Linked DNA regions of Callithrix jacchus. The protein of the gene in region 6 interacts with the protein of the main gene of each other region in a pairwise test. Links are inferred from orthologs where the notes say so. Each region holds a gene or a part of one and is shown on either strand. Other genes may lie near its edges.

Region 1 (3,500 bases), on a different chromosome or scaffold from region 6:
CCAGGTTGGTCTCGAACTTCTGACCTCAGCGATCTGCCTGCCTTGGCCTCCCAAAGTGCTGGGATTACAGGCATGAGCCACTGTGCCCAGCCAAGGGTTTGTGTTTCTTTAAGCATCATTAATGTTATCTTTCCTTAAAAAAGCAGTAGAAAATACTGGGTTGACTAGAAATGCTAAATATTCTAAATTGTATTTTCTTATATTTAAACTTGTATGCCATTTAACTACATTTGATTGTCTTCAGGCATTTGGTTGTATATTGAGAAATGCACGCTGATCTCTTCCTAGCAAGGATCCTCTATTTTCTGGCTGGGTGCAGATGGCTCACTACTGTAATGAGTAGGAGGCCAAAGGCGAGTGTATCACCTGAGGTCAGAAGTTCAAGACCAGCCTGGCCAACATAGCAGAAACCCGTCTCTACTAAAAATACAAAAATTAGCTGGGCATGGTGGCATGAGCCTGTAATCCCAGCTACTCAGGATGCTGAGGCAGGATAATCACTTGAACCTGGGAGGCGGAGGTTACAGTGAGCTGAGATGGTGCCACTGCACTCCAGCCTGGGCGTTAAGATTGAGACTGTCTCAGAAAAAAAAAAATATTCTGGTGTTCCTACTATATCACTCTAATGGAAAATATTCACAATTTAAGAAAGCTATTTAATTTTTATTAAAACAGGCCAGAAACAAATTTTCTTTCACTAGGGCACATTACATTATATCAAAAGTCCTTGTTGTGGTTTGTTTCCCATTTATTTACGTGAGGTATAAGGTCACATGACAAACTAACAAAGACAGTATATTTGTCTCAGAACAATGGATAGATGGAGATTTCACTGAGTGGTATAAAAAAGGTACAGGAGATGAAGAGGTTGGAGCAAAGGATAACTCTTCAAGTGGATTTGAGCAAGTTACAGGGTATCCCAGTATAACTGAACTGTTGAAGTTGATATAATACTTGGGAATCAGAATCTGGTTGAAATAAGATAACAGTTGAAATAACCACTGAGATAATGACTGAAAGAGCCAAGTTACCAAGTGATGTAAGCAATGAAAATCACAGGAGAGCTTATAGGTATCTTGGTTTTCTTGGCACTTTTAGTCTGTTATTATGGTTATATTAAATTGCTTGACATAATGCAGCATATGTTTTGAAAGAATATATGTAGCAGACTCCCATCATTCATACATTTAACTTGGGGAAATTCAAACACCATTCTACTTAGTGAAAGAGGCATAGGCTCCAGAGAGTGAGAGGAAGAAGACCGATATCTGCTGTTCATTAGTCTGTCTGGTTTCTCACTTGTCTCTCATAGTGTATCTCATTGCACTAGTAAAATTCTAAGGTAAAGAAAAGCTTTTTTTTTTTTTAAACCACAGTATGGTATCTCAACACAAGCTCAGATGAAGAAACAGCCATCTTTCTTGATTCTAGGATTGTGTATCTCTTTAACAAGGTACTTTCCCGTAGGCTCTTGAAAGGTAATCAAAAGCACATTTGAGTAAATGTGCTGTTTCATCATTTGTACTCAGTGTAAAGCCTAACATCCATGGAACATGGAATTTCGTTGTATGTGACTGGGTATAACTTAGAAAAAAATACGTTTTGGTTGGTGTTTAGAAAGTCACCATGAATGAGTGCTATAGGATTTGGGAAAGGATACATATTCACCTGCTTGGTTCTATCTTTCTAGGAATATTATTCTCTTTCACATCCTATTTTGTTTTTCTTCCCTCCCAGTTGTGGCAATTTATGACTATACAAAAGACAAGGAAGATGAGCTGTCCTTTCAGGAAGGAGCCATTATTTATGTCATCAAGAAGAATGACGATGGTTGGTATGAGGGAGTTATGAATGGAGTGACTGGGCTTTTTCCTGGGAATTACGTTGAGTCTATCATGCATTATTCTGAGTAGAGCTCAGCAGGGATGTGCTTGCCTCACAGGAATAGTCAGGTCTTCCCAGATTATCTGAAGGCCCTGGAGATTCCACTCCAGTAAAGTAGAATGAAGGATACAAATGATAAAAAAATACACTTTTTTGGTTTATCCCCCAGTATTAAAAACAAAAAAAGCAATCTGAGTCTGAACAAATGGATCTTGCTGCCGTCATTTGTACTATGCTGAGTTGTCGGGATTGAAATAAAGTGACCATTTTTTGTATATGTCAGAGGTATAACATAACTGTGTAGCCAAAACAAAATCAGATTAAGACTGATTCAGAAAAATCTGGGATCTTTCTCAGGAATACTGTATGCCCTTGGGATTTCTCCTCCTACAGAATATGTGGCATTGGATGTTCTTCATTGCCTGTGCTAAGGGGTTAACCTCATGGCCCAGTTGGTACCCTGCCCATTCTTTTCTTCCACTATGAAGAGGAGGGAACCAATATTTAAATACCACACTTAACCATTTTTACTGTTATTTCAGATGGCATTTTTCTTCTGTAACACTGTAAATTCTGCATTCTCTCAGCACTTGAGTGCACCAGATGAGTGCATGGTGAACTCACTTGCATCCCTTCATATTTGTTTGTGGATTATAAGGATGATGAAATGTGAAAGTCTCCCAACATTCTGAGGGTGGCAAACGATTGCCACCATTTGATTTTAATGTGCTGCTGCATGAGACTGCACTGTTGCTAATGGCCGGTATGCCCAGATGTGAAGTGTGGTAGGCTGGTTCATGTGCGGAGGTGGGTGTGTGAAGGTTCTTAAGGTTCTGAAGAGACTGAACTGTGGAAATGCTCTTAGCAGGCATCCCAAACCCTTGCCGTCGGTGCTGTTTTGAGGAGTAGGTCTTGGAGTTCAGACCAACTATGATGATCACTTCTTTCACTATTTAGAAAATCGTATTCTACTCTGGAAGAGAATAGTGGTTATTTTCAAGTCTCTTGATAGTCACTGGGAATAAAAGGTTTGTTAATGTGCTCTCTGGATGTGATTAATGGCCAGTATTAATTGCTGCTGTATCATTGACTCACTTAGCTGCAGAAAAGGTAATACTCTCCTGATTTTGTATTATTGGACTCTTAAGTAGCTGCTTTTAGTGAGAATTTAAACCTGTCTCAGATTAAGAATATCATGAATAAGATTAATAGGCCAAAATACATATCTAATCACATTGATAAAAATTAATATAACTGACACAAACAATAAAATACATTTCCCCCATCTGTACAATAAATACAGCTTCAGATCCAATGGAGTTTGTAGGGCAGATGGCTTTAACCTTCACTACTGTAGTCAGTATAGGAAATATTGAAAAAATCCAGGAGGGCTTGCCTCTTTGTAGGTGGTTACTGTGACGGTGGGCCAGCCCTGTTCAGGCCCAGAGCTGCTAACATGGGCTCTACTCAGTCCCAGTGACTTGGCCAGAATAGAGCTTTGCCAAGTAACTTCCCTGTGCTAGGTGAAAGGGGAAAAGCAATAGCTGCATATATTTCAAACAAGGTCTTGAACAAGTTCAGAAAGAGGAACTTGATTGAAAAATGAACAAGTGTAG
Region 2 (3,451 bases), on a different chromosome or scaffold from region 6:
TTATGAGGCCAGAGCAGCAGCAGCAGCCCCCTCCATACCCCAGGGCCCCACCTGGCAACAGGTCACAATGCCCCAGGTACCCTCCTAGAATGCTGACCAAAGTGGGAGCAGGTGAGGAGGGTTTGGTGGGTGAGTTTAGTGGATGGGGAGACTCCTCAGGAGCCTAATTCCCCACTCTGAGCCTACCCTTGTGTCTACCAGGGCCCTACCCCTTCCTCCATTCTCACTTCTATGATCTCTTTTAGGACTAGCTCTTCCTGTTACCTCCACCTCTCTCCATGACCCAGCTCTGTTTACCCAGACCCAAAGCCCTTGCAGATTTGATCCCAGTTCCTCCCAGGGGTCTGGATGCTGGGGAGGGGTCGTGTCATCCAGTGCATGTCCCCCTGGGGCTCTAGCTGGGCCCAGCTCCTGGACAGTGTCCTAGGGCTGGGGGCACTAGGGATGACAATCCAGGCAGTCTTTTCCACAACTGGCCCAGCCCTACTGCTGCTGCTATTGCTAGTCAGCTTCCTCACTTTTGACCTGCTCCATAGGTAAGTGGACAGCAGCCTGGCAGGTGGGCAGTCCAGTGGACAATTTTCCTAAGCCCTCTCTCTCCGCAGGCCCACAGGTGGCACACGGCCACAGCACAAACTTCTCACCAGGGGCCAGAGTCAGGGGGCCGGTGAGGGTCCAGGACAGCAGGAGGCTCTACTTCTGCAAATGGGGGCAGTGTCAGGACAACTTCACCTCCAGGATGTGCTGCTGCTGCTGCTCTTGGGACTTGGCTTGCTCCTGAGAGCCTATGGCATGCCCTTGACCCTGCTTGGCCTGGCCTTCTGCCTCCATCCTTGGGCCTGAGAGCCCCTCCCAAAAACAGTGTCCTTCAAATATACAATGGCCATCCTCCTTCCTCAGGCCCCGTTTTCTCCTTCCTGGCTGGGCAGGTGGGACATTACCCCTTTCTTCCCAGCCTGAAACTCACAGGACCTCCAGTCCCATAACATAGGTATTGGATACCTGGGTCTGAGTCTTGGGGCAGCAAGAGAAGGCAGGATACGAGCCAGGGAGCCCGGGGAAGGATGTGGCAGCTATCTCAGAGCCTGTGGGTTTGGGGCAGCCACTCTGGCCTCTTCTGTGGTTCTAGAGAATGAAGATCCAGACAGAAAGACTTGTAAGAGAACAGGGTGGAAGCGGGTAGATATCAGCCAGCAGGGAAAGCAAGGAAGGGTCAGGCATCCAGGGAGGGCTTTCCATGAGAAAGCATGATAAGTACACCTGCACGGCTCCGAGGATCCCCTGCCAGCCTGGACGGTCCATGCAGAGGGACTTGGGTGGGCCTCACACCCTGCAGAGGCTCCTCTCTTGGCAGGACCCCACCCTAGCCCGGGTCACAAAGGGGCTCCTCTGGGGAGGGTGGGGGTAGATGAGAGTGAGGACTTGGATCTGCCTGCCAGGCCATCCTGGGCACTGCAAGAAGCAACATGACTTAGGAACTCTGCCCAGAGGTAAGTCTCAGGCCCCAACTCTGTTGCCCCACCCACCCATGTTCATGCCCTCCTGACCCCTGCACCCCCTTTCTGCCCTCCTGAGGTCCCAGGCATCTCCAAGACCCTGGCCCTCTCCCCAGGTGCACCAGCCGTGATGCAGCAGCCTCGAGTGGAGACAGATACCATCGGGGCCGGCGAGGGGCCACAGCAGGCAGCGCCCTGGTCGGCCTGTTTCACACGGCAAGGCTGGGTGCACTGGTTGGCATCCCATGTGCCCCGGAGCTGGATCCACTGGTGGAACACCTCGAGCTGGCGGCAACCGCTGCAGCGCCTGCTGTGGGGTCTGGAGGGGATACTCTACCTGCTGCTGGCACTGATGCTGTGCCATGCGCTCTTCACCACTGGCTCCTACCTGCTGAGCTCCTTGTGGCCCGTCATGGCTGCGGTGTGGCGCCACCTGCTGCCGGCTCTCCTGCTGCTGGTGCTCAGTGCCCTGCCTGCCCTCCTCTTCACGGCATCCTTCCTGCTGCTCTTCTCCACGCTGCTGAGCCTCGTGGGCCTCATCACCTCCATGACTCACCCAGCTTACGCTCAGAACTTGGATCAATAGAAGGGCAACCCCATCCAGCTGCCTGCATCTGTTGAGCCCTGGCCTAGGGCCTGAAACCCTGACTGGAGAGGAAGGGCAATGGGACCAGGACCCCCTGGCTTGACAGGCCCCAGACCTCCAGTCCCTAGCAGGTAGAGTGGCCTGACCCCTGGGCACCTTCCCCAAGCCATTGCTGCAGCTTCCTGGTGTGAGGGGCTGGGGACTTTGAGAAGAGAGGCCAGAACAGATGGCTTAGCCATTGGTAGAAATGGCTTAGCCAGGGGCAGAGCTTGGCCAAGCCACCAAGAGCGCCCATGTGGATGTGGTGATACCCGTGAAGCCCCCTTGGCAAGTGACAGCATCGTTTTCTCACAGCCACTCAGCTGTCTCAGCTTCGGAGTCACTGAGAACTTCTACCTGGGTACCCCTGGCCTTGCCATTCCTCCCACCAATCCCCTCTTTCCATTTCCAGGAGAACCACAGACTCTAGAGAGGGTCCCAGTGACAGAAAACCTATCAGGGAGAAGGCTGACCAGAAGCCTCAGGAGACCTCAACTCACTCGCCTTCCAGACCTTGCAGCCCATGCATTGTCCTCCCTAGACTTCCTTCTTCCAGCCTCAGTCCACATTCCCAAGTCTGAGAAATGGACCAACTGGGGTCAGATACTCACTCTCTAAGAGTCCCAAGGTCTGTTATGGAAAAACGATCAAGAAGTCCCATTTCACACACTTACACAATGTGTGGCCTTGGCCAATTAATTCATTTGAGCCTCAGTGTTAGGTGGGCCACCCCTGTCATGGGGTTGTTGTGAGTCAAAGGCAATATCTGTTTGTGAAGCATTTTGTAAAAACCAAAAAACTATAAGATGCTGTTTTGAGCTCTAAGAACATTCTGTAGGCTCAAAAATCTTTTGACCCCAAAGTCTGCTGAAGAAATAGGAAGCTTCTCTGGCTTTCAAATCAATTCTCCGTCCTAGATAGAATTTTGGCGCTAGAATGGTTAACAAAAGGTTGGATAAGTGTGGACAAGATGTAAAAGGTCGTGTGCCATGAAATCTCAAAATGTGCAGATGTTGGAACTATTTTGATTGTGAAATGCTTGGGCCTGGGGCAGGTTGCCAGGCAATGCTTGCACAGCTCTGTGAGTGGGGAGAGCATAGCCTCAGGGTTTCCAAAACTGACCCAGCAAGCCACCCAGGCACCAGAAGGGCCTTGGAAGAGGAAATCCTTTGATGCCCTGAATGCTGTCCATTTGTTTGCCTGCTGGCCCCTCCAACAAAACATTGAGTGATTGCTTATCACCAAGTAAGGTACATGATAGACAACTTTATCCACACCTGACCCCCACCCAATCCCTGGTCATCCCAACTTCTGCCCACTTCTGATCCCT
Region 3 (4,240 bases), on a different chromosome or scaffold from region 6:
CAGAGACACGGGCAGGTTAGCCAGCTCTGCGTGGAAAAGGCGGAGGAGTCATGATGATGTCATAGCTCTCCCCAAATCCTAAAATCACTGATCAAACAACTCAATTTACACTGAAGATGATGGATGGGGATCTGATTTTGTGCCCACAGCTTGACACACATTTGGGAATTTTGTTTCAGTTTAACTTTCTTTGCCAGTACACAGATCTCACTGTGAGAATATATGATCAATCCAGATCTCTATAGATCTACATCCTCCTTGGACAAACCTAAAAATCCAGATCTCTATAGATCTATATCCTCCTTGGACAAACCTAAAAATCCAGATCTCTATAGATCTACATCCTCCTTGGACAAACCTAAAAATCCAGATCTCTACAGATCTACATCCTCCTTGGACAAACCTAAAAATCCAGATCTCTACAGATCTACATCCTCCTTGGACAAACCTAAAAATCCAGATCTCTATAGATTATATCCTCCTTGGACAAACCTAAAAATCCAGATCTCTATAGATCTACATCCTCCTTGGACAAACCTAAAAATCCAGATCTCTACAGATCTATATCCTCCTTGGACAAACCTAAAAATCCAGATCTCTACAGATCTACATCCTCCTTGGACAAACCTAAAAATCCAGATCTCTACAGATCTACATCCTCCTTGGACAAACCTAAAAATCCAGATCTCTACAGATCTACATCCTCCTTGGACAAACCTAAAAATCCAGATCTCTATAGATCTACATCCTCCTTGGACAAACCTAAAAATCCAGATCTCTATAGATCTACATCCTCCTTGGACAAACCTAAAAATCCAGATCTCTATAGATCTACATCCTCCTTGGACAAACCTAAGTGCAGACACTTTCAGCACCCAGAGGAGTTAGGTCGGGATTAAATAAAAACATTCCCTCCCACTTGGGGGCACATCCACTGGGGATCCCAGAGCGATGTCACCTGCCCACAACTGCTAATGTGCTCACAGGTCATCTAACTCCCTCTCCTGAGTTCTTTTAAGCAAGCAAGGGGACCTCCGTCCAGAGAAGCAGTTACTATGTCTAAGCGAAGTCACTGCATCTTAGGAAAAAGCAAACATTCGCATCTCGCAGAGCATGATGGGCGCGCACCCAAGAAAATTACTCAGCACTTGTTTTTCTCACTTTGGGATTTTCCCAAAATAGTTTCTTCAGTCCAGCTGCCACGAATCTGGAGCCCCCGACTGACCCACCACAGTCGGATTTGGCTTTGGGGAAAGCACACCTCGCAGATCAGCCGGCGGCTCATTGCCCAGAACCAGAAGGGCGCAGCGTGGGCACGGGGCGGGCCCGGGAGTTGAAACATTACGAAATCTTCGGCACAGACTGCCCCTCCTCGGAGGGGAGGAACCCAGACCGTGGGCCTTGTTCTTTTAAGACTCGCAGCACTGGATCGCAGAACTTAGTCTGCGCCGCGGCTTTGACACTGGCCAGGCTCCACGGGGCGCGCCCCAGGTGGTCCGAAGGCCGGTCCGCCCTGCACGCAGGTGTCCTGCGCGCCCCGCTCAGCCATGTCGTCCTGCAGCCGGGTGGCGGTGGTGACCGGGGCCAACAAGGGCATCGGCTTGGCCATCGCGCGCGAACTGTGCCGGCAGTTCTCGGGGGACGTGGTACTCACGGCGCGGGACGTAGCGCGGGGCCAGGCGGCCGTGCAGCAGCTGCAGGCGGAGGGCCTGAGCCCGCGCTTCCACCAACTGGACATCGACGACCTGCAAAGCATCCGCGCCCTGCGCGACTTCCTGCGCAAGGAGTACGGAGGGCTCAATGTGCTGGTCAACAACGCGGGCATCGTCTTCTGGGGTAGGTGCAGGGCTTGGGTGCGGGGAGCCGTGGAGCACTCCGAGGGTGCGGGGCGGCCAGCCGCAGGATCCCCACCCATCCACTCGAGTGACCGAGGAGGGCGCGCCGGCACCTCGGGATGCGGTCAGCCCTCGCCTTCCGCGAGGTGGTTTTCGCTTTCCATAATCCGCTGAACCCCAGGCGGGCCCGGGCGGCAGACACAGCGCGCCCCGCCCGCCCGCCTGTGCAAGCCTGTGCGCGGCCCCCGGCCTTCCCCGAACTGTCAGCCGCTGCTCTGTGCAGGAAAACTGGCCTCCTGGGAGCGGGCAACGCCCTGCTAGAGTTCATCAGCTTTCCTCCCAACGCAAGAAACATTTTCTCTTTAAAGAAAGGGTCACCGCTCGCTTTGGGCTTTCGCTTTCCTTCAAAGGGCGCATTCATAGATGCCCGGAGGCATTTGCTGGAGAAAGGAAATGAATCGCTAAAACAAGATTAACGCGGACTTGCACTTGGTGGACTTCACAGTTTGTTTAATGCAGAGCTTTGATAGACTCTGGCAGAAAGGAAGCGAGCCTTCGTTCCCTCCTCCGGCGAGTTTGTTTGTTACAAAATATGTGCGTGCGGTCTAAAGAGCATCTTCCTTAAGGAGAGGGGCTGGATCCGGAGATTACTTACTCTAAATACTACTCAAGAAAGTTACCGGCTGGGCCGGGCGTGGTGGCTCACGCCTGTAATCCCGGCACTTCGGGAAGCCGAGGCAGGAGAACCGCTTGAACCTGGGAGGCAGAGGTTGCAGTAAGCCGAGATTGCGCCACTGCACTCCAGCCTGGGCGACAGAGCTAGGCTGTCTCAAAAAAAAAAAAAAAAAAGTTGCTACAGAGAGATAAACAAGCCAGCTTCCCTTCCAACCTAGTGGGGAAGAAAAGCCTAAGAAACAGGAAGTAAAATGAAGGATGGGGGAGCAGAAGTCTCCGTCCATCCCTTTGGCCCTTGGCATTCTGCGTGGCTGTGCATGAGGACCTGAGACTTTCTTTTACTCGCACCTGCAATTCAGCCTGCCGGCTTCCTGGGAGCTGGGGTGCAAGACTGGGGGTTAACACTCCCTAAAGCAGCCCTCAGCCATGGGCTGGGAGATTGGTGGCTAAATACCCGGCTTCCTGGACAACAGGTGAAGGGACTTCCCCTTGCCTCTCAAGGTGTGGGGAATGGACCAACAGCAACTGCTAACCTGCTCACTCATGGCAAGGCAGAACCTCCCGCCTTGGGAAACATGGTGAAACCCCATCTCTACTAAAAATACAAAAAGTAGCTGGACATGGTGGCTCTCCCCTGTAATGCCAGCTACGCAGAAGGCTGAGGCACAAGAATCCCTTGAACTCAGAAGGCAGAAATTGCAGTAAGCAGAGATCACACTCCTGCACTCCAGCCTGGGCAACGGAGCAAGACTCTGTCTCAAAAAAAAAAAAAAACCTGCATTTCAACAGAATCCCCAGTTCCCTTCTTTAAGAAGCAGTAGTCAAAGCCAAGTATTCTCAAGGTGTGGCTGGAGACCAGTGGCTGTCACATCACCTGGAACTTAGAAATGCAAACTCAGCCCAGGTGTGGTGGCTCATGCCTGTAATCCCAGTACTTTGGAAGGCCAAGGTGGGTGGATCACTTCAGGTCAGGAATTCGAGAGCAGCCTGGCCAACATGGCAAAATGCCGTCTCTGCAAAAATTAGTCAGGCATGGTGTCACGTACCTGTAATCCCAGCTACTTGGGAGGCTGAGGCAGGAGAATCACTTGAACCCGGGAGGAGGAGGTTGCAGTGAGCCAAGATCGAGTCACTACACTCCAGCCTGGGCAACAGAGTGAGACTCCATCTCAAAACAAAAGAAAAAGAAAAGAAAAGAACTGCAAATTCTGGAGCCCTCACCCCAGCCCTTTGCAATGAGGCCCAGGAAACTGTTTTAACAGGCTCTGCAAGTGATTCGGATGGATGCACACTAAAGTTTGAGAATCACCGACCTCGTTTTTCAAAATGGTTTTTGGGCCGGGCGCGGTGGCTCAAGCTTGTAATCCCAGCACTTTGGGAGGCCGAGGCGGGTGGATCACGAGGTCAAGAGATCGAGACCATCCTGGTCAACATGGTGAAACCCCATCTCTACTAAAAATACAAAAAATTAGCCAGGCACGGTGGCGCATGCCTGTAATCCCAGCTACTGGGGAGGCTGAGGCAGGAGAATTGCCTGAACCCGGGAGGCGGAGGTTGCGGTGAGCCAAGATCACGCCATTGCACTCCAGCCTGGGTAACAAGAGCGAAACTCCGTCTCAAAAAAAATAAAATAAAATAAAAATGGTTTTACAGTTAACTTGTTTTTCCTTTAGTCATTAGGAGTTAGGATCCACTTTGTCATGTGAGTTTCAGATGGGAAAATACAACTT
Region 4 (3,970 bases), on a different chromosome or scaffold from region 6:
GTCTCCGCGTGAGGGGAGGAGGAGGGCGCTGCCAGCAATGGCGCTGCTGGCACGAAGGCTGGCCCGCAGCTTCTATTTAAAAGCTGAACCGAAATATGCCAGGCGTCTGCAGTCTATTTAAAACTCCAAGTTAAGGCAGAGGAAAATCACTCTCCACCCTGAATGGGCCTCGGGTGTCTCAATCACAGACAGGAGTGGCGAACGGGGAGAGTCACGGAGTGGGCAATGAGGAGCGCTGCGGGAGCAGGGCCAAGCCGACGCCGGCCATGGAAACCAGCCCGGGGCCGGGCGCGGCGGCTCCGCCTGGAATCCCAGCACTCCGGGGGGCCCGGGGGGCCGGATCACCTGAGGTCGGGAATGCGAGACCAGCCTGGCCACGTCTGTACCAAAAATACAAAATGAGCCAGGCAGGGTGGCGGGTGCCTGTCATCCCAGCTACTCGGGAGGCGGAAGCAGGAGAATCGCTGGAACCCGGGAGGCGGAGGTCGCGGCGGGCCAAGTTCGCGCCCTTGCACTCCAGCCTGGGCAACAGAGTGACAAACTCCGTCTCATAAAAAGGACCTCCGATTCGAACTCCTAACCCGAGGCTCCAGCTGCAATCCCTCGCGACCCTGACCTTTCGCACCCGTAGGCCACCTCTGCTCAGCGCCCCTCCCCAGCTTCAAGGCTTCCTCCTCAGAGTCCTCTCCCTAATTTGAGCGAGGTGGTCCCCTCGAGAGACGCCCCAGCTCAACAGTCTCCTCCCTTCAAGGTCCCTCTCCTCGGCGCGCTTCCTGCACAGCGCCCCTCCCCCACTCCCTCACCTCAGCGCGCCTCCCAGAGGAGGCTCCTCCTCGTTTCCCGCCCCTCGGTCCTCGCCTCTAACCCTCACCCTGCGCCGTGCCCGGGCTCCCTCCTCGCTACGCCCCCTCCAGGCCACACCCTCGGGTTCCCCCAGCTACTGGCCCGTTTGCCCCCCACGCCCCTAGGTCCTAGCCCAGCTCCCATTGCTTTCCGCCCCGCCCACTGCGGGGGCCCGCCCGCTCCCCCTCGCCCCGCCTCCTCATCTGCGCCCCGCCCAGCCCCTCCGTCCTCGCCCCGCCTCCTCATCTGCGCCCCGCCCAGCCCCTCCGTCCTCGCCCCGCCTCCTCATCTGCGCCCCGCCCAGCCCCTCCGTCCTCGCCCCGCCCTAGTCGGTTGGCGCCAAACCCTGTGGACAGCGGCTCGCGGATCTCCAGGCTCCGCGTTCTGTGTCCGAGTTAGAATCCTGTCAGCTGAGGACTGTCGGGAAAGGCCGGGCGGGGGCAGAGGGGTTTCACCTTGAAAATCTCGGGGAAACTGGGTACGAGGGGGGTAAGTGGCAAAAACCGACGGCGTGCGAAGACTCTGAGGGGACGCTCGTTTTGCCATGGCGCGCTTCCCTTTCTCGCTCCTTTTTTAGGGCCCTAGTGACTTGGAGCTTTCCGCTCCGACCCCTGGGGAGGAGTTTTGGTGACCTTGAGGGATTTCCAACCTCCTTATTTTAAATCGAATCGGACCTAAGTCCAGGAGGGCCCGCCTCGTCCTCCTGACGAGGGAATCCGGTGTCGGGAAAACGTCCGGCGGCCGCACGGGGGTCTGCCCAGGCCTCCTGCGGAGGGAGACGTCGAGGGCGACCCGACCGCGCTGCTGCCCCCTCCAGAGGTGGCCTTCAGCCAGGGGATGGGGCAGCCCTCCCTTAAATCCAACGGTTCGGTCCATCGAAGGCTCCGTGAGAGACGGGGACAATCTTTTCATTTCATCCCGGGGAGAAGAAATGGATGACGGGGACAGTAAATGCGGAGCTGGGGTGCTCATACTTGTAGCCCTCTGAAGGACAGACCCCGGAAGACCCCGTCCACACGGTCTTGGTTGCCTTCCATCCTTTGCTGTTTGCGGTGCCCGGTGGTCAGACCCTGCTTCTGCCTTAGAATTAATAATAGTCCGTGGCTCGCGCCTGTAATCCCAGCACTTTAGAGGCCGAGGCGGGCAGATCACGAGGTCAGGAGATCGAGAACATCCTGGCCAACATGGTGAAACCCCCTCTCTGCTAAAATACAAAAAATCAGCTGGGCGTGGTGGCTCGCGCCTGTAATCCCAGCACTTTAGAGGCCGAGGCGGGCAGATCATGAGGTCAGGAGATCGAGAACATCCTGGCCAACATGGTGAAACCCCGTCTCTGCTAAAATACAAAACATCAGCTGCGCGTGGTGGCTCGCGCCTGTAGTCCCAGCTAATTGGGAGGCTGAGGCAGGAGAATCGCTGGAACCCAGGAGGCAGAGGTTGCAGTGAGCAGAGATCACGCCACTGCACTCCAGGCTGGGCGACAGAGCTAGACTCCTCAAAAAAAAAAAAAAAATAGTCCGTTCCCTTTGTTCTAGGGTCCAACCCCTAACTTTGGTATCAAATGAGGAAACGGAATAGACCGAGAAAAATGATTATTTGGATGGCATTTTATTGTAATAAGCACAATCACAGTTCGTGGATTCCTGAGATTTCTTTTTGAGTCTACAATCTTAAAGACTTTCACTGCTTTATCAGCTTTAATATTATGTATCCACCATATTTTTAAATCTTAACAAAATCGGCCTGGCACTGTGGCTCACGCCTGTAATCCCAGCACTTTGGGAGGTCAAGGCGGGTGGATAATGACGTCAGGAGTTGGAGACCAGCCTGACCAAACATGGTGAAACCCCATCTCTACTAAAAATACAAAAATATACCGGGCATGGTGGTGCACGCCTGTAATCCCAGCTACTTGGGAGGCTGAGGCAGAAGAATCACTTGTACCCGGGAGGCGGAGGTTGCAGTGGGCCAAGATTGTGCCACTGCACTCCAGCCTGGGTGACAGAGCAGGACTCCTCAAAAAAAAGAAACTAGTAAATACTGTGAAAGAAAGTATAGCTAATGTTCTATGAAACAAAAAGGTAGATGTCACAGGAGTGTCCATTCATAATCATAGCAGGCAGGAAGGCCTTCATCATAAATGAGAAAAATAAAATCCATTTATTGAGGACAAAGTTGGAGGTGCCAGGGAGGACACAAGGAAGAATGATATAATGTCAAGGTTCTTAGAATGTTGTTAAACAAGAAGGGTTAAAAGCAATATGCACTTCTAAATAACATTTCAAGGCAATAATAAAGATATTACATAGTCATGATTAGCTGTGCAATGGAAATCAGCTGATAAATATCACTGTTGGGGAAAGACAAAAAATTTGTCTTTCCCCCAATTTGCCCCTCAGGCACCTGTGTGAGTGTGAGGACACACATACACACACACACACACAAAAGAAATAATGCCACATGCCTTGCAGAAAGAAGATAGGCAGGCCTAGTCTTTCCAAGCTAAATACTTCTCTTCTAGTCCTTGGTGACTTTGAAATGAAATCAGAGGCCTCAGGACAAAGGACTACTCTTTTTTTCCCCCTGCTCCCCTCTCCTCAGAGGACTACTTCTTAAATATATTTCTTATTTTCCCAGAAGCGATTATTTTTCTGTTGCTCACCTTTCAATATGAAGGAGGATCAGGTTGTGGAAGAACCAGGATTCCAAGATGAAGAGGTATGACTAGAGCGTTGAAAGATATGTAGACATTCAGTCATTCCACAAAAATCAAGTTCCTTCTCTGTTAGTTACTATTTTTAGAAATTGAAAGTAGAAATAACACATAGTTATATATTGCAAGTATGTAACAACTTCTTTGGCAAGGATGCTAAGATTAGCTACTTAGCAACTGGTATGAAAGTATTTTAATAACTTAGCAGCTGCTATGGCCATACTGATACCTATACACAGTGATACCGAATAGCAGCCTTGTCCTAGAGGAAGGAGTTTAGGATCTGGAAAGGAAGAAGGTTGAGAGAACATATTTAAAATAGGTCAAATGTTGTTCCAGTCTTTTGGGTAAAATTTTAGGGAGGGCATGACAAAGGTAATTGACTTCCAAGCCCTTTCAATATTGGTGCTTCTT
Region 5 (3,500 bases), on a different chromosome or scaffold from region 6:
ACCAGTAGTTGGTCAATTAACTGAAAAAGTTCTCTGAGGCGAGGAAATCATTCTCTAAAATGATGTTTACAAGTGTTTTTTTTTTTTGAGACAGAGTTTCGCTCTTGCTGCCCAGGCTGGAGTGCAGTAATGCGATCTCAGCTCACTGCAGCCTCCGCCTCCTAGGTTCAAGTGATTCTCCTGCCTCAGCCTCCCAAGTAGCTGGGATTACAAGCACACACCACCACACTCAGCTAATTTTGTATTTTTTTTTTTTTTTTAGTAGAGATGGGTTTCTCCATATTGGTCAGGCTGGTCTCCAACTCCTGACCTCAGGTGATCAGCCCTCCTTGGCCTCCCAAAGTGTTGGGATTACGGGCATGAGCCACTGCACCTGGTCACAAATCTTAAATGTTTAAAAATAAATATTTTAAGAAGTTACTAAGTTAAAATAATTTAAAACATATATAAGCAGGACAATGGGCATGGAACTCAGAATCCGCTAAGGTGTGTACAATAACTCACCTGCCCAAAGCAAAACAAAACATATTCATCACATTCATTACACATTCTTTTCCTGAAGCACCAAGGCCTCTTCATTGAGGAGAAGCCCACCTTTAATGCCAAAGCAACTCACCTTTATCAAGTCTTTCTGAAACATTCAGCTTAAATTTCAGAGAATCAACTCTCTTCAGGCATCTGGCTTCAGTCTATCTAATTACAATAACAAGTACACATCAGGCAAATAGATTTGGGAACAAACAGCTGGCTCCTGATGAACAGGCATCCCACCTGGTGGAGCAGGTCTGGCTTTTGTACACCAGGAAGTAGCCTAGAGCTCTGAGAGTTCCGAGGGCCTGGGCATCTGCAGTAGTAGGTTTCACAGAGATGGTGTAAAGCATCAGTGAGTCTGCTTGGGTGGACTTGTTTAAGAGGGATTCTGTCTGTCCTTGCTAGGCCAGAGGTGTTCAAAATCAGTAAGCGTATGTAAAGCACTATGAAAAGTATGAAGTGGCTGGGTGCATTGGCTCACGCCTATATTCCTAGCACTTTGGGAGGCTGAGGCAAGTAGATCACCTGAGGTCAGGAGTTCGAGACCAGCCTGACCAACATGGTGAAACCCCATCTCTACTAAAAATATGAAAATTATCTGAGCACAGTGGTGGGTGCCTGTAATCCCAGCTACTTGAGAGGCTGAGGCAGGAGAATTGCTTGAACCCAGGAGGTGGAGGTTGCAGTGAGCTGAGAACTCCAGCCTGGGTGACAAGAGTGGAAACTCCATTTAAAAATAAAAGCCAGGTGCAGTGGCTCACACCTGTAATCCTAGCGCTTTGGGAGGCTGAGGCAGGTGGATCAACTGAGGTCAGGAGTTCCAGACCAGACTAACCAACATGGCGAAACCCTGTCTCTACTTTATAAAAATATACTCTCTATTTTATAAAAATATAAAAATTAGCAGGGCATGGTGGTGCATGCCTATAGTCCCAGCTACTCAGGAGGCTGAGGCAGGATAATCACTTGAACTCAGGAGGCAGAGGTTGCAATGAGCTGAAATTGTCCCATTGCACTCCAGCCTGGGCAACAAGAGCAAAACTCCATTTCAAAAAAAAATGTATGAAGCGCTCTGCAGCTGAAGGAGAGCTGATTCCTGAGGTTAACCAGCCGGGTAGTAGTACAATCGGGATTCGACCCAGGACTCCTGATTCTGAGTGTGGTGCTCTTTTCAATCGGCTGAGCCTTGCCCTTGCCATCAGTGGTATCTCTGAATGAGCATCAGAAGAGTGTGGTTCAAGGCCACAGGACCATAGGTCGTCCTGCTCCTGGATACCCAGGTTGTTGGAGGATGACGGTGCACATTGTCTGGTTTGTGTTTCTGCCCCGTACAGCAGGAGAGCATGCCGTTTGCTGTGGTGGGAAGTGACAAGGAGTACCAAGTGAATGGCAAGAGGGTCCTTGGCCGAAAAACTCCATGGGGGATCATCGAAGGTAATTCACTGCATCTTCTGGAAGAACTCATTGCTGATCAGTTATCCAGTCACCATTTATTAAGCATCTATAGATCAAGGCACTGTCTCAGGACACATGAAATGAATGCCAGCCAGATTCTGCCCTTAAGGAGCTTACAGTCTCATTGAGAAGATGCTTACAGGCAGGATTAACAAGAGACCAATGTAGCACCTGACTGGGTGCACTGACTTGGTGTATCAAAGGAGTTCAGAACATGGAGAGTTTAGTAAGACCTGGAAAACCTGGAGAAAGTTTTCATAGGAAGGAAGATGTGATCTGACAGACTGCTGGAGGGTTGTTCAGGTGTTGCCATTTCCATTTTATTATGAATGGATGTGACCTTGGGCGGGTCTTGATGGTTCTGAAAGTGGTCAAAGAATCACTTTAATGATTTCATTCAATATGATAACCCTATGAAGGGAGGAGGGCGCATGCTCCTGTTCTCAGAATATAAGGCACCAAAGCACCAGAGCTCAGGTTAAAAGCCTTGCCCAAAGTCACATAATTTGTTAGTGGTGAAACTTGATTTCAGACTCAGATTTTTTTTTTCTTTTTTTGAGATGGAGTCTCATTCTGTTGCCCAGGCTGGAGTGCAGTGGCACAATCTCAGCTCACTGCGACCTCTGCCTCCTGGGTTCAAGCAATTCTTCCTGCCTCAGCTTCCTGAGTAGCTGGTACCACAGGTGCGCACTATGCTTAGCTAATATTTGTATTTTTTGTAGAGACAGTTTTGACATGTTGGTCAGGCTGGTCTCAAACTCCTGACCTCAGGTGATCCACCTGCCTCAGCCTCCCAAAGTGCTGGGATTACAGGCGTGAGCCACTGCACCCAGCAATTTTATTTATATTTATTTATATTTATTTATTTATTTATTTGAGATGGAGTTTCGCTCTTGTTACCCAGGCTGGAGTGCAATGGCACGATCTCGGCTCACCGCAACCTCCGCCTCCTGGGTTCAGGCAATTCTCCTGCCTCAGCCTCCTGAGTAGCTTGGATTACAGACATGTGCCACCATGCCCAGCTAATTTTTTGTATTTTTAGTAGAGACGGGGTTTCACCATGTTGACCAGGATGGTCTTGATTTCTTGACCTCATGATCCACCCGCCTCAGCCTCCCAAAGTGCTGGGATTACAGGTGTGAGCCACTGTGCCCAGCTTTATTTTTATTTTTAACAGAGATAGGGTCTCACTGTATTACCCAGGCTGATCTTAAATTCCTGGGTTCAAGTAATTCTCCTGCCTCGGCCTCCCAAACTGCTGGGATTACAGGCATGAGCTCTGGTGCCCAGCACCATGTCTTAATCCTCATTGTGTTCCAACAGCGCTAGGCCAGTGATTTGCAGATACTAGGTATTTAGTATATGTTGAATTGGATTTATTATGTAGTGCATGACCTTTTTAAAATGGTTCAGTTGGGCCAGGCACAGTGGCCCATGCCTGTAATCCCGGCACTTTGGGAAGCTGAGGAGGGTGGATCACCTGAGGTTGGGAGTTTGAGACCAGCCTGACCAAC
Region 6 (4,093 bases):
TATAATGAGAATTTCATAAATGCCAAAAAAAATCCAAAATTGGAAACATTTCTGGTCCCAAGCATTTTGGCTTAGGATCAGCTTGTTTTAAACTTGTTCATGAAAATTTACTGTAATTGCTTTTCATTCTATTTTTTAGGGGAGGGGTGTCAATTTTCCTGGATTTTCTATGTTAGATAACCATCTCATCTGAAAACAAAAAGTTTTATTTTCTCATTCCCAATCTACCTTGTGATTATTTTTAAACGTCCATTTTCATCAGCCTAACTACATATAACCTTACTGAGAGCAAAGTTTTCTTTTTTTATTTTTAATTTTTTATTGCATTTTAGGTTTTGGGGTACATGTGAAAGTTTTCATCTTTAGTTGTCACCTCTTTTACCCTCAGATTTTTTTTATTAGTTTTGCCAGATATGATTGTGGCACTAATTTAGCTATAAACTGCTTGTAAATGCTATTTTGTCAAGCACTCTACAGTATTCCACGGTAACTATGATTATTCTTGGGTAAACTGTGCCTCAGTCTGTCTGTAATGCGATGTTGTATTTATTTTATAGACTGATGTGAAGACCAAATAAGACTATACACTAAGTTCGTAGAGCTATGGCTGGCACATCATCAGCCCTCAAGAAATCATCGTTATGTTTTTGTATTAGGAAACAGTAATTACTTTTGCGCAGCACCACACAGAACTCTCAACAGCGAAGGAATATCAGCTCAGGCGGACAAAGATTAGTAACTTCCCCTTCGACCCCCCACATTTCAAACAGAAAAATAAGGCAGGAGTTGAGAAGGGGTAGTGAGTGAGAGGAACATTTGTGAGCCTATGGTGGAGAGGTACAGCAAGAGGAGAGTGAGGTTAGGACAGCAGTGGTGGAAGTCGAAGGCATCCCAAGAGGGAGCATGGGCTCCCGAGACCTGTTTGAATTGTAGGCGACCAGAACCAAGCGACCGTGAGCTGCTATACACACGGTAGTGAGTGGGTGGAAAGGGGCCAGCGGGCACGAACTGCCAGAAGAGCGGAGAAGACGCGGAGCATAACCGCGGGGCAGCGGCCAGTTGGCACAGCGGGCCACCTGCACGGCCCTACATTGCCAGATACCGGTAGCTGCAGGAACTACCCACGCCCAGGTCCCTTTACTCCCGCCGCCCGGTTACCTAGGGAACCGGATCACCTGACCCGGGGCCGTGCGCCTGCGCGGGCGGAAGGCGGGGGCGGTGCCGTGACGCGCCTCGGGGGCGGTCCTCCGGCTCTCGCCGCTCTGCTACCCTTGGGCCTCAGAAGTCCGTGCCAGTGACCGGAGGAGGCGGCGGCCGTGAGTGAGTCCTTGTGGGCTAGGTGAGAGGCCGAAAGGGGGCAAGAGGGACGCCGGTGCCGGGTCCCGGGCGCGGGGACGTGGGGCAGAGGCGTGATGGTCCCCGGGCCTTTTAACCGAGAGCGTCCTGGTCGCAGCCGTTTTCGGGAGGCGGCGGCGACGCCCTCTCCTCAGGGGCTCCGCGCCCCTCCCTGCGCCGTGCTGGCTGCGGGGCAAATTTGCGGGAGCAGCGCGCTCTGCTCCCCGGGACCCCGCGGGTTTCGAGCTCCTCTCCGGGCTGGGGCTGGGGCTGGGGTGGGTAGAGCCCCGAGGCACGGCCGGGTGAACGCCGGCAACCGCGGCCCCAGCTCTGGGATTCTTCCTGGGACCGTCTCTCGATCCTCGTTGTTCTCGCTCGCTAAGATCTCGAGACAAGTAAAGAAAGAGCCTCTGGCCGCGGTTTCTCCCCGCGTTTCTTGGGCTGCGCTTCCTTTTGGGTTATTTGGAACGTCCTGTCTCCCCGCGTTTCTTGGGCTGTGCTTCCTTTTGGGTTATTAGGAACGTCCTGGATTTGAAAGCAGGAAGGAGGTGTTTAGTGGGCGAAACCTTGACTTGTTTGGAAGCGGGTGGGGAGAGGTTGTTCGCCCTGAGCTTTTTCCTGGTGCTGTTGGACCTGAAGGAGAAACGTTTCCCGCAGAGTATGTTTAGAAGGAAATACTCCTGAGATCTGATGACTCACAGCTTTCCTTTCAGGATTTCCTTGTAATGATGGGAAAGGGAAGGCATATGGATGCGGAAAGTTTTTACTTTGATCAAAGTGGGATTATTGAGTCATGGAGGCTTCGAATGTGCACATTTTTGAAAGGAGTTTCTAGGATCATCTATTCTATATAACCGCATACACATTTACGGTTATTTTTTCCATTACGTACTTTCCTTAGAAAGTACACTCGGTTTACCGAGCTCTAACATCCGCTTGTTTAGTCTCTCCATTATAAACGAAATTGAACTTCAGAGACATTTTTAGTTTTGGGCATTATAGGAAAAGATGTAAAAGTCATAAAAGGGGAAGAATTTGCTAATGGTTGCCAGTTAAATGTACTGTTTAATTAAACAGTTTCTTAAAATGTGCGTGGCACAACTATTTTCCCTGTTGCCAGATTTGGGTCCTTTTTATAGGTATTAAATGCCAAGAGATTATAAAAAAGGAAAGCTCCCCAAACAACTTTAAAATACTTTCTACACTTAGTAATAGTTACGTTCACATTGATTAATTTTCTTTCAAGTGCTGCCAACATCTTTTGTAAATATTGTCTTCGAGTAGGTAAACGGTCACGTGTCTCAAAATTTAAGCAGCATACAAAGGTATATAGTATGAAGTCTCCTTCCTTTTGGCAGGCAGCCAACTGTTTTAAATTTCTTGGGTATTCATCCGGGAATATCCTATCTACACAGGCAAACATACAAACTGCATCTGTCTCCTTTCTTTTAACATAAACGTTAACATTTTATATACTGCTCCACATTTTGCTCTTATTTTTCCAGTTATTGATAATATTTTGGAACTTTCTAATATCAGCATATATAGCTTTCAGGTCTTTGGCTGTTACAGTCAGTGCTGCAGTGAATGAACTTTTACATATGTTGCTTCCTTTGTGCACATGTGTTTGTACAGTTCAGGTCTTGAAATGATACTGCAGAGTTGAAGGGTATTTGAATTTAGAATTTTAGTAAGCTACTGCAAACTCATTCTCCATGGGAATTGTACTAGTTTACGCTCCCACTAGTAGTGTATGAGTGTTTCTCAAAGCCTTGCTGTCGGAGAGTATTGTCAAACTTTGGATTTTTGCCAGTTCAGTAGCTGAGAAATGGAATCCTAGGGGTAAGAATTAATTATTCTACTTAGAGTGGACTTTATATGGACATACTTCTTAATGCCTGATCTTCAGAAACTCCCAGGATATTTATTAAAAAGCAGAGTACCTAAGTCCTTCCATGAAATTTGTATCTGTTCAGGAAGCTGAGGTTTTTTGTTTTTTGTTTTTTGTTTTTTTTGAGAGGAGTCTTGCTCCGTTGCCAGGTTGGAGTGCAGTGGCGCAATCTCGGCTCACTGTAACCTCCGTCTCCTGGGTTCAAGCGATTCTTCCGCCTCAGCCTCCCGAGTAGCTGGGACCACAGATGCATGCCACCACGCCCGGCTAATTTTTTTGTATTTTTAGTAGAGACAGGGTTTCACGATGGCCAGGATGGGCTCGATCTCTTGACCTTGTGATCCGCCTGCCTCAGCCTTCGAAGTGCTGGGATTACAGGCGTGAGCCACCGCTCCCGGCCCAGGAAGCTGTTTTTATAATAACTAGAGCCTCTGGTAATTTGGCTCTGATGAATAGCCATATTGAGAACATTGCTCTGGAAGGCTGCTTAGGATATATAAAATTGTGTTTCTAGACTCCATGTATGAGCTATCTGGAATGCTTACCATCTGGGGGACATGTTATTTTTTCATTTTTTTACTTTTTATTTTTTTTGAGATGGAATTTTGCTGTGTTGCTCAGGCTGGTCTCAAACTCCTGGGTTAAAGCAATCCTCCTACCTCGGCCTCCCAAAGTGCTAGGATTACAGGCATGAGCCATGGTTCCTGGCCTGATACTTTATTTTTATTTTTTACATTTTTCATTCATTTTATGAATAGTTCGCATAAGTGAAAATAAAGAGATAATGCAACACAACTTTACTAGAAATTTTAATAACTGCTTCAACAAAAGAAACACAAATTAGTATTCCAGATTTTCCTGGTTTTG
Region 7 (3,928 bases), on a different chromosome or scaffold from region 6:
CCCTCCCACTTGTCGGGGTCTGGGGCCGTCCAGTCCCCTCGAGCCCCCACTTCCTGTCCATCCCGGTCCCACCCACCGGCCCCAGGTTGACGAAGCCGAATTTGCGTGCCAGGCGCTCGGCCTCCCGGTTCCCCTGGGACACCCGCACGGCCCAGCTGCTGACATAGATGGGGGCCCGGGACGAGGCCCACCCCACAGCCAGGGGGCCTACGAGGGCCAGGGCCAAGGCCAGGCGCAGCCATAGCGCAATCGGGGCGGGCCTCATGGACGCGGGGCGGGGAGGGGGCGGGACCTGAGCAAGCCCCTCCCCCGCCAAACCGCCGAGGGGGCCCAGGCGCCCGCCACGCCCCCGGCGCCATGGCAACGCGGAAGGCTTCGACTCCCAGGGGGCCTTGAGGCTACCCCCGCCGAGAGGCGCGAAGATCTGACAGAAGCGGGAAGGAGGCACGCCTGCCGGCCTTCCGCAGACCCACAGCCTCGGGAGCCTCAGTTCCCCCATTTGTACAACGACAATAATCTAAACCAGAGAAGGGGAGTCACTCGTGGTAACGCGTCCAGCACTTTCTTTGGCCTCGCCCACTTTCCCACACACCCCCTCCTTCGAGAATCAGCCCGGCCTCCTATCCGGCCCAATCAAAATCGCTCTATCGAGCAATCCCGCCTCCTCCAATAAGCCCCGCCCAATTCCCCGCCCCTACTAATCAGCCCCGCCTCCTTTACGGATCAGACCGCCCCTCCTCCGGCTTCACCAATGAATCGCGTACCGTTTCCCCAATCGGCTCGGATTTTTCTCCAGCCCCGCCCACAGGCTCCTCCTTCCACCGCGTGCCGCGCCTCACCCTAGCTCCACCCCCCTCAGCGTCGCAGCCAATAATCCCGTCCCCTGACACCGCCCCTCCAATCAGCTACGTCTCGCTCCCGCCCGGCCAATCGGTGCCCTGAACTGGTGCGCCCCGCCCTCTCCAGGCGGGGTCTGCGCAGTGGCGGCCGCAGCCCCCCCAGAGGGCGATGCGGCGGGGGAGACGGGGCAGGCCCCACCTCCTTTGTCCGCCGTGCCCTCCCATTGGTCCGGGCGGGGGGCCGGGGGCGGACACCGGCGCGGGGCCCGGACAGCTCGGCTCCCGCTGCGAGAAAGCTGCGCGCGTGCAGCGGGGCGGGCGCGCGGGGCCGCGGGCGAGCTCGAGCAGCCAACGCCGGGCGCGCCGGGGCCATGGACGGGCTGAGCCAGCGCGTGGAGCGCTTCCTGGAGCAGAGGAACCTGGTCACCGACGCGCTGGGGGCGCTGGAGGCCAAGACCGGGGTGGAGAAGCGGTATCTGGCTGCAGGTGAGCGGTCGGCGATCGCCCGTTTCGCCGACGGGCACATCGAGGCCACGGGCCCGGGGGTCGCGGATCGGACTCCCTCCCCGGCTGCGGGGTCCGGTCCGGCCGGTGGAGCGTGCGGGGTGACCGGGACCTCGGGGTCCGCCCGCGCCCCCCTTTCCAGCCTCCTTCCCGGCGCTGGGTGCCCGCCACGCCGAAGTCCGGTTCTTCCAGTTGCCCGGTGGCCCCGGAGGGGTGGGGGTGGGGATGCCCGTGACCCGCGCGTTTCCCCGTCCCCTGCCCCCCGTGGACTCCGGGAGGGGAACGGACCGTCCCTGGGGGGCTACCGGGGGGCTGCCCAGGACCCTCCTCCCGGCTGGCCTAGTCTCCTTCCCCCGGCTCAATGGCTTAGTGCCACTGCGCGTAAATATTTAAGACGAAGCTGGGTCGTCTGACAGCTGTGATGGGGGGAGGCTGGACTGGCGCCCGCGGAGCTCCAGATCCCGACACCCCGATTGTGACTCCATGTTCTCCTGGTCCTTTCCGCCTTGGTGACACTGTGCGGCCCTGCCCCTTTCCAAAACTGTCTAGAGCGCGCATGTAGCAATCGCTCCTTAAATGCCTCCCTCTCCACCTTTAAAAGTTTTTTTTTTTTTCTTTTTTTGAGAGGGAGTCTTGCTCTGTTGCCCAGGCTGGAGTGCAATGGCGCGATCTCGGCTCACGGCAACCTCCGCGTCCCGAGTTCAAGCAATTCTCCTGCCTCAGCCTCCCGAGTAGCTGGGATTACAGGTGTGCGCCACCATGCCCAGCTAAATTTTGTATTTTTAGTAGAGATGGAGTTTCACCATGTTGACCAGGCTGGCCTCGAACTCCTGATCTCAAGTGATCCACCCACCCCGACCTCCCAAAGTGCTGGGATTACAGGCGTGAGCCGCCGGCCCTGCCCAGCCTAAAACTTTTTAAAATTAACTTTTTTAAGAGACAGGGTCTCACTATGTTACCCAGGCTGGTGTCAAACTGGGCTCAAGTGATCCTCAGCCTCCCGAAGCTCTGGGATGACAGGAGGGAGCCACTGTACCCAGCCTTTCTTCCCTTTGTGTGGTGCTCCCAGCCCCACTGGCCCTGCCTTCTTTTTCAGGGAGCCTGGCAGAGTAACTCACAAGGATTTTCTCTAGCCTGGGGCGCAGTGGGTAGCGGGCAGTGCCACTTTTTTGAGCACCTCCTGCAGGCAGATCCCAGGACTCCAGTTTCCCCCGTTTTCCCACCATCTGGGAGTTCCCATGCCTGGCAGCCCCAGGACAGTCTGAGATCTGTTCCCAGACCCTGGAGGTCCCCAGGTGCCTGGTCCCATGTGCACAGCACAGCAGGTGGCATGGCCCCCTGTGCCTGCCCCGGGGAGCAGGCCCCTGACCTCTGCCCTCCCTTTCCACATCCCTGGGGCCAGTGGGCGGGAATTGAGGTCATAGAGCGCCCAGGAGGCAGGCAGCAGGGACGGGCTGGCTGGGGCACTGTGTTGCCAGGGAGGAGGCTGAGGTACAGGGAGGCAGGGGCTGCCTATGTGCCTGCTCTGTCTGAAGCATACGCCCCCTCCACCCTGCCCACCCCAGTCCCATCTGCTGCTAATCTTGGGGGCTGTGCCCCGTCCACACTTCCCATGTTCAAGGTCATCCTCCCAGTGCTGAACCTGCAGAAAAAGGGATTTAGGGGAGGGACGCCCTGGGAGAGCCATTCCTCCCCCACCAGGGAGGCCCGGGGAAAGGTGGCGTTCCCTCATCCCCCTGTATCCCCCTCCCCCGCAACCCCGCACCTCCTTTAAACCCATAGGTCCTACACCCCTGGGTAACATGAAGAAACTCAGAGGAGACAGTGGCCCGGAGGCCGCATAGCCTGCTGGGACCAGCTGGGGGACCCCTCCTACCCCGACCTTGGGTGCTTGTCGATAAAGACTGATGCTGGCCGAGGGGAGGGCTGGGCTGCGGAACTTGGGCGTCTGCCCTTTGGTCGGCAAGTGGCCTCTATCTCTCTCTGCAGATAGCAGCCCCAGGGGAGGAGAACGGAGGCTGTCCCAAGCCTTCTGAGCCCAGAGGTTCCCTGTGTGACCTTGGGCAACACCCACCCAGCCCAGTTCTGGCTGTTGCATGAGACAGTTCAGGGAAAGCACAGAACCTGGCACACAATAGGCGCTTAATAAATGCAGTTGTCACAGTCATTCTTTCCAGAGCCAGGTTCAGGATTGGGGCAGAGCTGGATGCGGACACACACACACTCTTCTCTCTGAAGACCCTCCTCACTAGAACTGTGTTACAGTAGCCTGAAGGCGCTTAATAATTGTACAGGAAGGCCAGGTGCAGTGGCTCACACCTGTAATCCCGCCCTTGGGACACAGAGGAGGTGGGGGGGGACCCTGAGGTCAGGAGTTTGAGACCAGCCTGGTCAACACGGTGAAACCCCATCTCTACTAAAAATACAAAAGTCAGCCTGGCAGGGTTGTACACGCCTGCGGTCCCAGCTACTCGGGAGGCGGAGGCACGAGAATCGCTTGAGCCCAGGAGGCGGAGGTTGCAGTGAGCTGGGATTGTGCCACTGCGCTCCAGGCTGGGCAACAGAGCGAGACTCCGTCTCAAAAA

Evidence for each region.
Region 1: the proteins of SDCBP (region 6) and ABI2 interact in binary tests that used the Homo sapiens proteins (3 or more experiments, as listed by UniProt). The link is inferred for Callithrix jacchus from reciprocal best matches to the Homo sapiens genes SDCBP and ABI2.
Region 2: the proteins of SDCBP (region 6) and TMEM239 interact in binary tests that used the Homo sapiens proteins (3 or more experiments, as listed by UniProt). The two-hybrid records come from large-scale screens. The link is inferred for Callithrix jacchus from reciprocal best matches to the Homo sapiens genes SDCBP and TMEM239.
Region 3: the proteins of SDCBP (region 6) and CBR3 interact in binary tests that used the Homo sapiens proteins (3 or more experiments, as listed by UniProt). The two-hybrid records come from large-scale screens. The link is inferred for Callithrix jacchus from reciprocal best matches to the Homo sapiens genes SDCBP and CBR3.
Region 4: the proteins of SDCBP (region 6) and DMC1 interact in binary tests that used the Homo sapiens proteins (3 or more experiments, as listed by UniProt). The two-hybrid records come from large-scale screens. The link is inferred for Callithrix jacchus from reciprocal best matches to the Homo sapiens genes SDCBP and DMC1.
Region 5: the proteins of SDCBP (region 6) and SEPTIN3 interact in binary tests that used the Homo sapiens proteins (3 or more experiments, as listed by UniProt). The two-hybrid records come from large-scale screens. The link is inferred for Callithrix jacchus from reciprocal best matches to the Homo sapiens genes SDCBP and SEPTIN3.
Region 7: the proteins of SDCBP (region 6) and REEP6 interact in binary tests that used the Homo sapiens proteins (3 or more experiments, as listed by UniProt). The two-hybrid records come from large-scale screens. The link is inferred for Callithrix jacchus from reciprocal best matches to the Homo sapiens genes SDCBP and REEP6.

The regions. Positions count from the first base shown.
Region 1 is NC_133507.1:124,726,992-124,730,491, forward strand, and holds part of ABI2 (abl interactor 2), read left to right. Parts: intron 1-1,737; coding exon 1,738-1,913; 3' UTR 1,914-3,500. UniProt on the Homo sapiens protein: Regulator of actin cytoskeleton dynamics underlying cell motility and adhesion. Functions as a component of the WAVE complex, which activates actin nucleating machinery Arp2/3 to drive lamellipodia formation.
Region 2 is NC_133506.1:10,320,811-10,324,261, forward strand, and holds TMEM239 (transmembrane protein 239), read left to right. Parts: upstream 1-1,406; 5' UTR 1,407-1,408; coding exon 1,409-1,490; intron 1,491-1,575; exon of another isoform or gene 1,576-1,612; coding exon 1,613-2,082; 3' UTR 2,083-2,213; intron 2,214-2,533; 3' UTR 2,534-2,951; downstream 2,952-3,451.
Region 3 is NC_133522.1:42,208,720-42,212,959, forward strand, and holds the start of CBR3 (carbonyl reductase [NADPH] 3), read left to right. Parts: upstream 1-1,440; 5' UTR 1,441-1,547; coding exon 1,548-1,836; intron 1,837-4,240. UniProt on the Homo sapiens protein: Catalyzes the NADPH-dependent reduction of carbonyl compounds to their corresponding alcohols. Has low NADPH-dependent oxidoreductase activity.
Region 4 is NC_133502.1:209,475,728-209,479,697, reverse strand, and holds the start of DMC1 (meiotic recombination protein DMC1/LIM15 homolog), read left to right. Parts: upstream 1-1,170; 5' UTR 1,171-1,332; intron 1,333-3,480; 5' UTR 3,481-3,513; coding exon 3,514-3,561; intron 3,562-3,970. UniProt on the Homo sapiens protein: Participates in meiotic recombination, specifically in homologous strand assimilation, which is required for the resolution of meiotic double-strand breaks.
Region 5 is NC_133502.1:189,775,209-189,778,708, reverse strand, and holds part of SEPTIN3 (neuronal-specific septin-3), read left to right. Parts: intron 1-1,865; coding exon 1,866-1,965; intron 1,966-2,546; exon of another isoform or gene 2,547-2,669; intron 2,670-3,500. UniProt on the Homo sapiens protein: Filament-forming cytoskeletal GTPase. May play a role in cytokinesis.
Region 6 is NC_133517.1:14,796,753-14,800,845, forward strand, and holds the start of SDCBP (syntenin-1), read left to right. Parts: upstream 1-1,293; 5' UTR 1,294-1,320; exon of another isoform or gene 1,321-1,339; intron 1,340-4,093. UniProt on the Homo sapiens protein: Multifunctional adapter protein involved in diverse array of functions including trafficking of transmembrane proteins, neuro and immunomodulation, exosome biogenesis, and tumorigenesis.
Region 7 is NC_133523.1:1,413,199-1,417,126, forward strand, and holds the start of REEP6 (receptor expression-enhancing protein 6), read left to right. Parts: upstream 1-1,128; 5' UTR 1,129-1,210; coding exon 1,211-1,325; intron 1,326-3,928. Other genes in the region: PCSK4 (proprotein convertase subtilisin/kexin type 4), read right to left, coding at 77-265. UniProt on the Homo sapiens protein: Required for correct function and survival of retinal photoreceptors. Required for retinal development.